Rattus norvegicus: one gene and its partners. The protein of the gene in region 1 interacts with the protein of each later gene in a biochemical or structural test. Links are inferred from orthologs where the notes say so. Each region holds a gene or a part of one and is shown in the gene's direction. Other genes may lie near its edges.

Region 1 (3,646 bases):
AACTCATGAACTGATTTTTATTTTCAAGTGTCCGCCTTTGGTATTTTTCTTTTCAGGATCTTCTCTTGGAGATCTACAGAAGTATAGGAGAGCCAGACAGCCTGTATGGCTGCGGGGGAGGGAAAGTGTTACAACCCCTTACCCGGTAAGTTGCACCTTTCAGATAGTGATTCTGCCTTTCGAAGGAGCTCCATGCGCACAGAAACAAAAGATGTTTTCACCGTCATCTCTTACAGAATAAGGACGTACGAGCATGAAGCAACGTGGGAGAAAGCCTTAGTGACATACGACCTTGAGACCACCATCTCCTCCTCCACCCGCCAGTCGGGAATCATCCAGGTACACTGCCATCCGTGCCTGCTTCCGTAAAGCTGTCGTCAGTGGAGTTAGGCTGTCAGACATTAGGCCAGCACCTCAGTACACATTGGAAAGCTGCACAGGTCACTGTAGTTTGTTGATAATACTTTTATTACCCAACAGCAGAAGACACTTCTGGAGTGTGTACAGTATGCCTGCCAGGAGACACTCGTAGTGCTTCACATGGCACTAGTTTGCTTTAGAGTTGGTCCAGGAAACTGTCCTATCTTTTACTATAATAGGCTTAGGTATCTTTCCACCAAACATTAACATTCTCTGAGGAGAAATATACACGCTAAGCAATATTTTAGAGTTTTAAGTGATACTGTTAATTAAAATTTTTGAAATTAAAATTTGGGGGTGGGGGCTGGGTTTCTCGCTAGTTCAATGGTTCTCAACCTGTGGTCGCGACCCCCTTTGTGGGCTGGCTGACCTTTTCACAGAAGTCACATGCAAGATATTTAAATTACGATTCATAACAGCAGCAAAATTGCAGTTATGAAGTAGCAGTGAAAATGACTTTATGGTTCGGGGTCACCATAGCATTAAGAATTGTACTAAAGGGTCTCAGGATTAGGAAAGGCTGAGACCACTGGTCTACTCTATCCTGACGTATTTGATCATGTATTCATTTTGTGATAACTTCCTTTCAGGCCTTGCAGAACTTGGGGCTCTCCCATATTCTTTCTATCTACTTGAAAGGATTGGACCATGAAAGGAGAGAGTGGTGTGGGGAACTGCAGGAGCTTCATTACCAGGCGGCGTGGAGGAACATGCAGTGGGACCTCTGCACTTCTGCCAAGTGAGAGCAAACCAGCCTCTCCCCACTGCTTCTATCTGACCCTGAAACTGTGCATTTGGTTGTTTTCTCTATGAGTGCTGCTGGCTTTTGTTTTTTAATATATTGTACAGACACTATGGGCCGCACATATGACTAAATATTTAGTATACAATAGGCAGCTAGCACAATGAAGGTTGAATTTCATTCTTATTTTTTTCCACCAGAGAAATTCTATCCCCTGCTTCAAGTGTTTTGTAGATAGAAATTTTTAAAAATGCCTTTTCCTGTGAAAATATTGATTGTTGAATTGAGGAATCTAAAGACAAGTGTAGGCCTTCTCCCTACCACTTCTTGCTACATTGTAGTCAAAAGCATTTCTATTGGCTGGGTGATAAAATCAGTTACCTTTGTTAATGTTTTGTGGTGGTGGTTGTCGTTGCTGCTGTTAAAAAGTAGTGCTAGGCCAGGAGCAGTGGTGCACTGGGAGTCACAGGCAGGTGGATCTCTGGTTCGATGCCAGCCATGACTACATAGTGAGTACTAAGCCAGCCAGGGCTACCACAAACAGATAACCAGGCAGTTTATAAAGTACTGCCAAACCAAGTTACCCAAGAAGATAAAAGTTGTAGCCTGTATTTCAAATCATTGTATTTTTTAAATGAAAACCAAAACACCTAGACTACTAAAGGATTTAATAGTTACATAAAAAAGTCTGATAGAATGCTAAAAAATTAAGTCATTTTAATTACTTTAATGGAAAAATGTTTTCATAAATTGGAGTGTTTATCAAATTTCATGTTAGGAGTGGTATAAAAAGCGGATTTATTCATATGTAGGTGAATTTTCTGTGTTTGTTTTGAGACAGTTTCTCTGTGTAACCCTGGCTGTCCCGGAATTCGCTCTGTAGACCAGAAGATCCTACTTCTGCCTCCTGAGTGCTGGCACCAAAGGCTCGCGCCACCACCACTCAACTGCTCTCATTTTAAATATTTATTTTAAATGTAAAATTGAGAACCAACTAGAATTTCTAAGTTTTTGGTTTTTTTTTTAAAGAATTTAAATGACCTGTAAAATGCTTTCCTCTTCTCACTGCCTTTTACTGCTTTGGCTTGTTTGTTTTTTTTCTCTTTGTTTATATATATATTTTTTTTTTTTGGTTCTTTTTTGCGGAGCTGAGGACCGAACCCAGGGCCTTGCGCTTCCTAGGCAAGCGCTCTACCACTGAGCTAAATCCCCAACCCCCTTTGTTTATATTTTGAGTTAGGATTTTACCATGTGACTGTGGCTGGCCTTGAGCTCACTAAGATCCACCTCTCTCTGCCTACCAATTAAAGGCATATGCCGCTGCACCAGCTACATATTTTTCTTAATCTCTGCAAACTTTTATGAGAAATCTTAATTTTAGTTCTCAACATTGTTCTTTGAGTTAGTTATAGATGCATATCTCAGAGTTTTCCATTTTTAAATTTGTTTTTTAATCATCTCGCAGCCAAGAACTAGAAGGAACCAGTTACCACGAATCGTTGTATAATGCTCTGCAGTGCCTAAGAAACAGAGAATTCTCCACATTTTATGACAGTCTCCGACATGCCAGGTATTATAAAAAAGACAGATTGTTTTTATATTTGATGCTGTGGCTGCTATCCTCAAAATGTGAGTAGATTTAAATAAGAATTTGCGTCAGTGAAGGGATAAGACTTGGTGGCTGAGTTCAAGCGTTTCTTTGTCGTTCTTTGCTCTCAAGAAAGATTTTCTTGAGGACCTACGTCAGTTCTTCAGTCTGCGCCCTCTGGAAAAGCATGATAGTATTCTCTTTTGTACACGTGTCCTGGAAGAGTTAACCTTTGTCCTTTCTAGTTTCATGGCCTTCACTCTCTTACCATCATAGCTCTGCTTTGTAAGCTTGGTTTCTCTGAGGCATACATGGTGTAGCAATTAGCTGTAACAAGTTAAACAAACATGAATTTTTTTTAAGGTTTATTTATTTTTATATGCAGTGCTGTTTTTGCCTACGTATACGTCTGTGATCCCTTGGGACTGAAGTTACAGATAGTTGTGAGCTGCCATGTAGGTGCTAGGAATTGAACCCTGGTTAAGAGCAGCCAGTGCGCCTAACCACTGAGCCATCTCTCTACCCCCAAACATGAATATTTTAAACACTCGCCACTGACATCATAAATCCTATACATGTTGTTTGGTTATTGTTTGGTTTTAGACCCCAGAACAGGGGACTGAGGTGCATATTTTACACATCAAAGCAGACGTGGCCTCCTTGTTCTCCCAGCATCCCTCAGTCCCTGCCTGGTATACCTTGCCCCCAATCCTGAACTTTCCAGTCTAGGGGCTGGGCTGCCCTTCCCCAGAGGGTCTTCCCTATGTAATCCGGACATTTTGGTCTTTTTCTTTTTTCCTCCTCTTCACTCTCTGCGTATATGTCCCTCTCTCCCTCTCTCCCTCTCTCCTTCTCTCATTCTCTCCCTCCCTCCCTCTCTCCCTCTCCCTCTCTCT
Region 2 (4,134 bases), on another chromosome or scaffold:
TGGGGTCAACCTCAGGTAACCTGGCTTGCTGAGCCATCTTGCTGGCCTCCATGAGGTTTCTTATAGGAGCAACAATCTTGGAAACGATCTGTGACTCTACAGGAAAAATTTCATTTCTTTTATTTCATTTTTTAAAAGATTTATTCATTTATTATATATAAGTACACTGTAGCTGTCTTCAGATACACCAGAATAGGGCATCGGATCTCTTTACAGATGGTTGTGAGCCACCATGTGGTTGCTGGGAATAGAACTCAGGTCCTCGGGAAGAGTAGTCGGGCGCTCTTAACCGCTGAGCCATCTCTCCAGCCCCTATTTCATTTTTTAAGACAGGGTTTCATCATGTAGCACCGGCTAGCCTGGAATTTGCTATGCAGACCAGGAGGCCTCGAACTCATGGAGATCCTCCTGCTTCTGCCAGAGTTCTGAGAGTAAGTCGTTATACTTGGAGATTTTAATTTCTTATAGAAAATAAGTAATCCCACGATGACCTGTGAGACTAGTACTGAGTCAGAGTCAGTCTCTCTCTCTCTCTCTCTCTCTCTCTCTCTCTCTCTCTCTCTTTATTTAATGTACAGTTCACTGTCGCTGTCCTCAGACACACCAGAAGAGGGCATCAGATCTCCTTACAGATGGTTGTGAGCCACCATGTGGTTGCTGGGAATTGAACTCAGGACCTCTGGAAGAGCAGTCAGTGCTCTTAACCGCTGAGCCATCTCTCCAGCCCCCAGTACTGAGTCTCTTAAGTTTGCAAATGGCATGCCACAACCGAGCACCAACGTCGAAAGTGTGACTTCTACCACAGCTCCTGAGATTCAGCTTTGAAGGCAAACTCGCAGTTTGGCGGGAATGGGGGGCGAGGGGTTAGCTAGCGAGCGGCGGAAGTGACGTAAGGAGTTGCGCACTCGCCGGGGATGGGGGGGTGAGGAGAACTTTTGGTTGGCCCAGGAAGTATTGTTTTGATTGGTTGTTTTCTTGAATACTGTCCTGTCAGGAATTCGCCCTCAGTAAAGATGGCCGCGCGGGCTTCCATTTCTTCTTGGGGCCGTGTGTTTTTCTTAAGCTTGGCCTTGATACCGGAAAAAGTGAGATTCGTGAGTTCTGATTGGCTAAAGGTAGATGTGTCCCAGGCGCTGATTAGCTGGCTCTTCGCGGGAAGGAATTTGTGGCGCCAGTGCAAAGTAGCTACAACGCCGCCACGCCGGAGCGGCAAACACTTCTTAAGTCTTCTTATTTTCCGAGTCCAAACTTCTTGGCCTCTTTCTCAGGAAAACTGCGACCAGGATGTGGAATAGTAATGGCGGGCATACGGGAGAGAAGGCAGAGAGTCGCGCGTGGGAGGGCAGGGCGGGAGCGAGAGGCCGGAGGCCGGGGCGGTGGCATTTGAGGGCTGGGAGGGGGGTTGTGGTGGCTGGGGCGGTGGGGACAGCGTTTGCCAGGTACAGAGTTGGGGAGCGCCGTGCAGATTCTGACTCTGTCGTTCACTACCAGGCGGATTCGAAAGCTTCAGCAGCTCCTCCTATGGCGCAGCGGGCGGCTACACGCAGTCCCCCGGTGGCTTCGGGTCACCCACACCGTCGCAGGCAGAGAAGAAATCAGTACGTAGAGTGACCCGCTCTGTTCTCATTTGTGTCCTCCTGTCCCGAAGGTCCTCACTGGTCCAGGAGGGAACGTGGTTTTGCGGGGGAGGATGGCACCCCAATTGGTTCGGAAGCTGTGGGTTGCCTACTTTTTCTCTTGTCTGGTCAACTGGGTAACCGTTTTCTCTAAGTGTTTGGCAAGCGTGCTGTGGTTGGCCCGGCCTCCACTTTCCTGCCCTACCGCTCAGAAAGTATGCTTTTGCAGAGTTAAATGTCGCGGTGCCCATCCACAGCTGGGACTACTAAAAAGCCTAAAGAACAAGAGTCCACTGTGTTCAGAACAGGTTTGGGGTTCATTCCTGTTGGAATTTGACAGGAAGAACGTAGTCATTGTATGACCAAGTGTTTGGGGGATGTTTGTTTGAGACAGGCTTACAGTGTAGCTCTGGCTGGCCTGGAACTCAGATATCCACCTGCCTCTCTACCTCTGGGGCTGGGACTAAAGATGTATGGCCACCAGGCTCATCATAGTGTTAGGGGTAGGGAGCAAGCAGTCTCTAAGGCTTACTGAGTAATTGCCCTTAACTTGTGGTTAACTGTTCTTTACCTTTTTTTTTTTTTTTTTTTTTTTTTTTTTTTTTTTTTTTTTTTTGAATCGGATGTACCTCTGTTGCCTAGGCTGATAGGGCTGAGGTGATTCTCCTGCCTTTCTGCCTCAGTTTCCCTGATAGTTGGGAAACGTTCTGGTGTTTGAAATTACCAGTAAACATTCTGAGATCCCAAATAAGGGGCTTCTTTCCATAATGTATCAGGATGTGGTCTTTTGTTTACATTAGTACTCTGCTTAAGCAGAGATAGTGTTGAGTTAAAGGCTTATCTTTTGTGCCGTTTCATTCGTTTTGTTTTTGAGACAAGTTTTTACTACCCATTTGTGTGTTGCCTGGAACCTGCTGTGTGTAGACCATTAATTTGTGGTGACCCTACTACCTGTCTCTCCTGACTGTAGGGATTACGTCAAGGACTACACAGGTTGCCTGTTGCCTCTGTGGTGTCCTGAACACTTTGCTCTTGCTGTATCTGGGATTTGCTCTTGCTATCCTCACTTCTCTAAGACAGAGGGGGGTGCGTGTGTGCGTGTGTGTCTATCCCTGGTTGTCCTGGAACTTACTCTGTCGACCAAGCTGGCCTTGGTCCACCTGCCTCTGCCTCCTGGGTGCTGAGATTAAAGCCATGGGCCACCACTGTCTAGCCCTGGGATGTGCTCTTGAAGGTTTGTTCTAAAGGCAGGCTTTCCTGTGTTGTCCTGACTCTAGTCTGACCTTTTCTTTGTGAACCCACAATATGATACAAACATCTCTCCACCTGGAGGTCTAGTATCAGATCAGTGTAGATGTGAATTCAAAAGTGTGGCATTTGCCATGTGTAGCAAACACTGTGAACCCTAGCACTTAAGGGGAGAGGCAGAGGAGTCAAATGTTAACTTTCTGGCCTTGTTTTCTGTCTCTTTGAAGCAAGGAGAACTTGGTTTGAAGTTTCTGGATTGTGGTATATACAGAGTGCTTGGCACATGGAGACCCTCGGTGAATGGTTGTTACTCTCTCAGGTTGACGTGATGCGTCCTTTCTCTTTGCAGAGAGCCCGAGCCCAGCACATTGTGCCCTGTACCATATCTCAGCTGCTCTCTGCTACTCTGACTGATGAGGTGTTCAAAATTGGGGATGTCGAGATTTCACAGGTATGTGAGATTTTGTGGAAGGACTGTGCAGGAATAGGATATAAGGGGTGGAAAGATGGTGGGGCCAGCATGAGCACTAGACCTCAGATCCATGTCCATGTACAAAGCCAGGAGTGATTACAAAACTGTAGGGTCAGAGACAGGAAGATCCTTGGGGCTTGCTGGCTCCAGGTTCAGAGAGAGACTCTGTCTCAAGGGAATAAAATCAATAGTGCTAGACCCGGTGGCCCAATGTCCTCTGGCCTCTGCAGAGGCATTCATTGCACATCTGTCTGCTCATTTGTGCACACCATTCATATGCATTCACGCAAGGAAAAGGAATTAAGACTTGCTTAATCGAAAAGTAGATAGCTAGTAACGTGCTCTATGGGTAGAAATGAATGCTTGGGCCTTTTGCACAAGCCTGATGACCTGAGTTCAGTCTCCACATTCTACACTGGAAAAAGAACTACATCCTCAGACCTCTGGATCATGGCACACATACGCACAATGGTAATATAACAATATTTTCTGAAAAGTATTTTTTAAAGCTGGGCAGTGGTGGCTCACACCTTTAATCCCATCCCTAGGGAGGCAGAGACAAGTGGACCTCTGAGCTCCAGGCCAGCTTGATCTGTATAGTTCCAGGATAGCCAGGCCTACACATTGAAACCCTGTCTCTTTAAAAAAAAAGTGTATGAAGGCATTCTTCCGTTGGAGCCTCTCTTGCTTGCAAGAGTAGTTTCTCAGTTTTCCTCATGAGTGTGTTCTATGCATAGAAACAGGTAAGCTTTGGACTGGACATGGCAGCTCATACCTGTAATCTTGGCACTCAGAAGG
Region 3 (4,035 bases), on another chromosome or scaffold:
AAGACTCATTGATTTGTTTTTAAAACAATTTATTTATGTATTTATTGAGACGGAGGGAGAGGGGGAACGAAAGGAGGTGTGTGTGTGTGTGTGTGTGTGTGTGTGTGTGTGAGAGAGAGAGAGAGAGAGAGGAAGAGAGGAAGAGAGAGAGGAAGAGAGAGAGGAAGAGAATATGAATAAGAATGGGTATAGGCGTGGGTGCCTGCGTACCACCACACCATGCATATGGAGGTCAGAAGACATCTTGTGAGAATTGATTCTCTTCTGCGTGCAGGTTTCTGGTTTTGGGCTCAGGACACCAGGTTTGGTGACAGGTAGGTGCCTTTGCCAGCTGAGCCACCTAGCCAGCCCTTAATTTATTTTCTTTACGCCTGGTATATAACATTATATAATATGTAACTAATGGTGTGTAGTCCCAGAAGGAAGCTGGCTACCGCCATTGCGTACGAGGAAGCAGACTTGTCATCGGCCGAGGGTAAACTAACTATAAATAGTAAGGCAAAGACAGTTTTTAAATTCCAGCTGGATACCATTGTCTGCTGGAGATGTGCTGGGAAGAAAGTGATCAGGAAGTCGAAGGGTTAAAAATAGACCACCAGTGCTGCTGTGTTAGAGGCCCCGGGAGACTGTGGATAAGTTCATCCACTCACCGACACCTCACGGGTCTCCCACAGTGATCGTGCTCCCTCACCTTGGGAAACGTTCCTTTATATGGTGGTGTTCAGGCGGCTGCCTGGGCGGAGGATCCTGAGTGTGGTTTACCGCTAGAGAACAGCGCACTGAGACTGACCCCTACCCCGGGGAATGAGACTAACTTGTGATAGGAGGTCGGGTAGAATGGGACTGGCGTCCCTGCCTGCCCTTCAAGAGTGATGCAGGCAGGTCGATGTACTGAGGTTTGGAGAAAGGCTCAGCCTAAGTCCTTTCTGGATTGGATAGAGCGTTTCCTCTTTCTGCAAAGACCTGGCAGGGAAAAGTCTCTGCAGGGAGGGACCCATTGTCTTTCTGTTGTAAATGATCGACCTGCTGGAGTCCTGTGGGATGGAATGGTGCCTTGACAGGGGTGACCACCTTTTCTGTGTGCTGTGCTTGTCATGTGTAACTGACAGGGAGGATTGAGGGGTGGGAGGTCGAGAGACTATATAGCATAGGGTGTTCTCTGAGAAAACAAAGATGCATCTTGGTGGCCAGCAAGCACTCTACTGGGGAGAGGCTCCCCAAATGGTGTTGGAGGGTAGGCAGTGGAGCAGAGATGTGGTCAGGTTGGCAGGACCCTTGGTCAGCCTGACTCCCCTTTTGGTCCAGATTGTATGAAGGAAACTGCCGCCTCTGCTGTGACTGCTTCTTCACAGGAAGCGGGAAAAGCAACAGGCAAAGGGGTTCCAGGAGTCCTTACCAACTCCCTTATCACACCTTTCTCACCAGGAACCAGAATCATCTATGACCGGAAATTCCTGATGGAGTGTCGGAACTCGCCTGTGGCCAAAACACCCCCAAAGGACCTGCCAACCATTCCAGGGGTCACTAGCCCTACCAGCGATGAGCCTCCCATGCAGGCCAGCCAGAGCCATCTGCACAGCAGCCCGGAAGATAAGCGGGCAGGTGGTGAGTCCTGTCCAGGCCCTGAACTGGGAGGGGGATTGTCTGTTCTTAGGAATTCCACGTTTCGGGGTGAGGGTGATGGTGACCATCCACCCTTTGAGGGGCAGCTGTGATGAGACCAGAGGGTGGGGGATGAATGGGAACTGGAACTCTTATTGGTGCCAGCTTGCCCCCTACAAAGCTCCAAAGCCCTCAAGGATCTTATGCGTCAGGTCATTAAGGAGCTGATTTAAGTGACGTAGGCTTTACCCAGCGCCTTTCATCATCCCGCCTCTCTATATTAGTGGAACACAGCAGTGATACTCTTGATGCAAGGAGACAGCTTATCAAAGACACGGCGTACTTCCCCTCTAGGAAATTACACGTCTACAAGATAAAAAGTAAATCCAGGTACCTCCTGGCAGGGTTACTGGTCATTAAGTGGATTATTGATGAGGACAGGCAGACAATGCCTCCTATTGTCACAGAAGCGCTGACATTTATATCTAGGTCCTTCCTGGTGCCCCCCTCCTCCCGAAAACAATCAAAGCGGCCACCCTGGCAGTCAGTGTGAACTCTCTGGTGTGGGACCGTGTTTCGCAAGCTTGTCCACATCCCTGCAGTCACGGGACCACTTCTGACTCCCTACCCTAAAGGCAGAGCAGCAGGCTCAGACAGGGAGTTGCTGACACCCCATGGCTCTGTAGGATAGGATTCCTATTTACCCTGGCAGCCCAGCAGCCCAAGACAGACAACATTTAGACTGAGATGGACTGGGGCGGGGTGGGGGTGGAGGGAAGTAGATAGCAGTAGGAAGGTGGATTTGACTGCCTGCGGAGAGCAGCATGACAAGTGGTTACCAGGCTACACGTGTGGGTCCCTGCCACATGTTCAAGGGTGGAGTGATTTCCCCAGTCATTGCACAGAACCTCTCACCTTTACCTTCTCACCCCAAGCCAAAGATGACAGAGGATGAAGTTAGGCGACACCTGAAATTGTCACCGTTAACTGAAGACTGCCATTTACTCTTGCACCTGCCACTCCTAGTTTCTGATGGTATATTACCTCTCAACCCTGAACAATGGCTTGGTTGCCCTCTATAGAGTTAGGTGGTGGTAGTGGTGGTGATGTAGGTGTACTTTTAAATTTCCTTAACTGGACACAGGACACAAAGCTCCACCCCTTAGGCCACGTACTAAAAATCGGATTTATAGAAAATTCAGCACTGTCACCGCCGCGCTTATGAGGAAGCTCCTCTCCTAGCCTAGTCAACTTCTCTTGTTTCTCTTTGGCAGCAGCTCTCGCTTCCACCTGACCTATGAGACTAACAAAGACGACGTCTTCTCTCTGGCCTCTAAGCCTGGAGTGCTTCCGTTTGCTACTTGTTTATTGGCTGTCTGTCTCCTCTCTCTGCAGGTGAAGAGTCACAGTTTGAGATGGACATTTAAGGGACCAGCCATAGGACGCAGTGATGCTTCTGGGCCCCTGGGGCCCTTGGGAGGAGAGCCACAGCAGTCAGGCCTTGTACCCGGCAGACACTGGGTGTGGATCGGCCACCCAGTCCTGCTCCTCACTCAGGGCACCTGCTCTGCCTTCCATTTTGTGAATACCAGCACATACCTCCTTGTGCCTCTGTTGATACTGAGCTGCTACTCCAGGGTAATGACTCTCACCTACACCCTCCCTGCATCAAGCGCCAGCGAGTGGACACAGAGGAGTCTGTCGGAATGATCTGGCAATTCTAGCCCCAACCTCTGGAGCACACCCACCTTACCTTAGGTTGGGGTACCTGGGAAAGCCACCCTTTACTTCTTTCCCTGAGAGGAAATAAAAGCCACATTTACCCTAGGCCCACAGCCGGGCCCTGTCTGAACTGTTTCCAAGTTGATATGATGACACCGTTTACTCTGTGTTCAGTGTTATGGTGTATTTTTCCTTTACATTGTCTTATGCAATTGTTATACCAGCCCTCTGGGTCAGCAGAGCACGCCTTACTGTCATTTTTACGGCTGAGGTCTGCTGCTCTGTTACTTTTTTTAGTTGCAAGTATTACCTTTGTCCAGCGAGGTGGTCACCTTTTCCCTGAGCCTGCGCCAGTGTAGAGCCTTTGGTCCACGTGCGCGCATGCGGTCTTTGTCGTCATCTCTCTGTGTGCTGCCATGGTGGGTGCAGAGGAGTAAGGATTTTACTGGGGTGTATCATGTACCCATTAAAAAAGGTAGCATGAGGTAGATTGTATAGGACTGGTTATCAGTGGTCCATGTCAGATGAGTTGGGGGTGGGGGGTTGGGGGGGTGGAGCTTGGAGGACGTGGTGTAGCTGGGAATGAGAGGAGGCAGACACCCAGTGTTACAAACATCAGATGGTCTTGGGGAGCCGGGATGAGGAAGGGTGGGATGTCACGGGCTCCTTTATGGGCACAGCAGGTACTTCTGTGTATGAACGTGACTTTAC

Evidence for each region.
Region 2: of the proteins of Atm (region 1) and Rpa2, one has a biochemical effect on the other in vitro, tested with the Homo sapiens proteins (3 studies listed by BioGRID). The link is inferred for Rattus norvegicus from reciprocal best matches to the Homo sapiens genes ATM and RPA2.
Region 3: of the proteins of Atm (region 1) and Eif4ebp1, one has a biochemical effect on the other in vitro, tested with the Homo sapiens proteins (2 studies listed by BioGRID, with this or other methods). The link is inferred for Rattus norvegicus from reciprocal best matches to the Homo sapiens genes ATM and EIF4EBP1.

What each region holds. Positions count from the first base shown.
Region 1 is NC_086026.1:62,752,018-62,755,663, reverse strand, and holds part of Atm (serine-protein kinase ATM), read left to right. Parts: intron 1-56; coding exon 57-145; intron 146-236; coding exon 237-339; intron 340-1,010; coding exon 1,011-1,159; intron 1,160-2,627; coding exon 2,628-2,732; intron 2,733-3,646.
Region 2 is NC_086023.1:150,259,573-150,263,706, forward strand, and holds the start of Rpa2 (replication protein A 32 kDa subunit), read left to right. Parts: upstream 1-1,199; 5' UTR 1,200-1,284; coding exon 1,285-1,294; intron 1,295-1,491; coding exon 1,492-1,598; intron 1,599-1,690; coding exon of another isoform or gene 1,691-1,924; intron 1,925-3,213; coding exon 3,214-3,315; intron 3,316-4,134. UniProt on the Homo sapiens protein: As part of the heterotrimeric replication protein A complex (RPA/RP-A), binds and stabilizes single-stranded DNA intermediates that form during DNA replication or upon DNA stress.
Region 3 is NC_086034.1:71,494,891-71,498,925, reverse strand, and holds the end of Eif4ebp1 (eukaryotic translation initiation factor 4E-binding protein 1), read left to right. Parts: intron 1-1,425; coding exon 1,426-1,605; intron 1,606-2,997; coding exon 2,998-3,029; 3' UTR 3,030-3,469; downstream 3,470-4,035. UniProt on the Homo sapiens protein: Repressor of translation initiation that regulates EIF4E activity by preventing its assembly into the eIF4F complex: hypophosphorylated form competes with EIF4G1/EIF4G3 and strongly binds to EIF4E, leading to repress translation.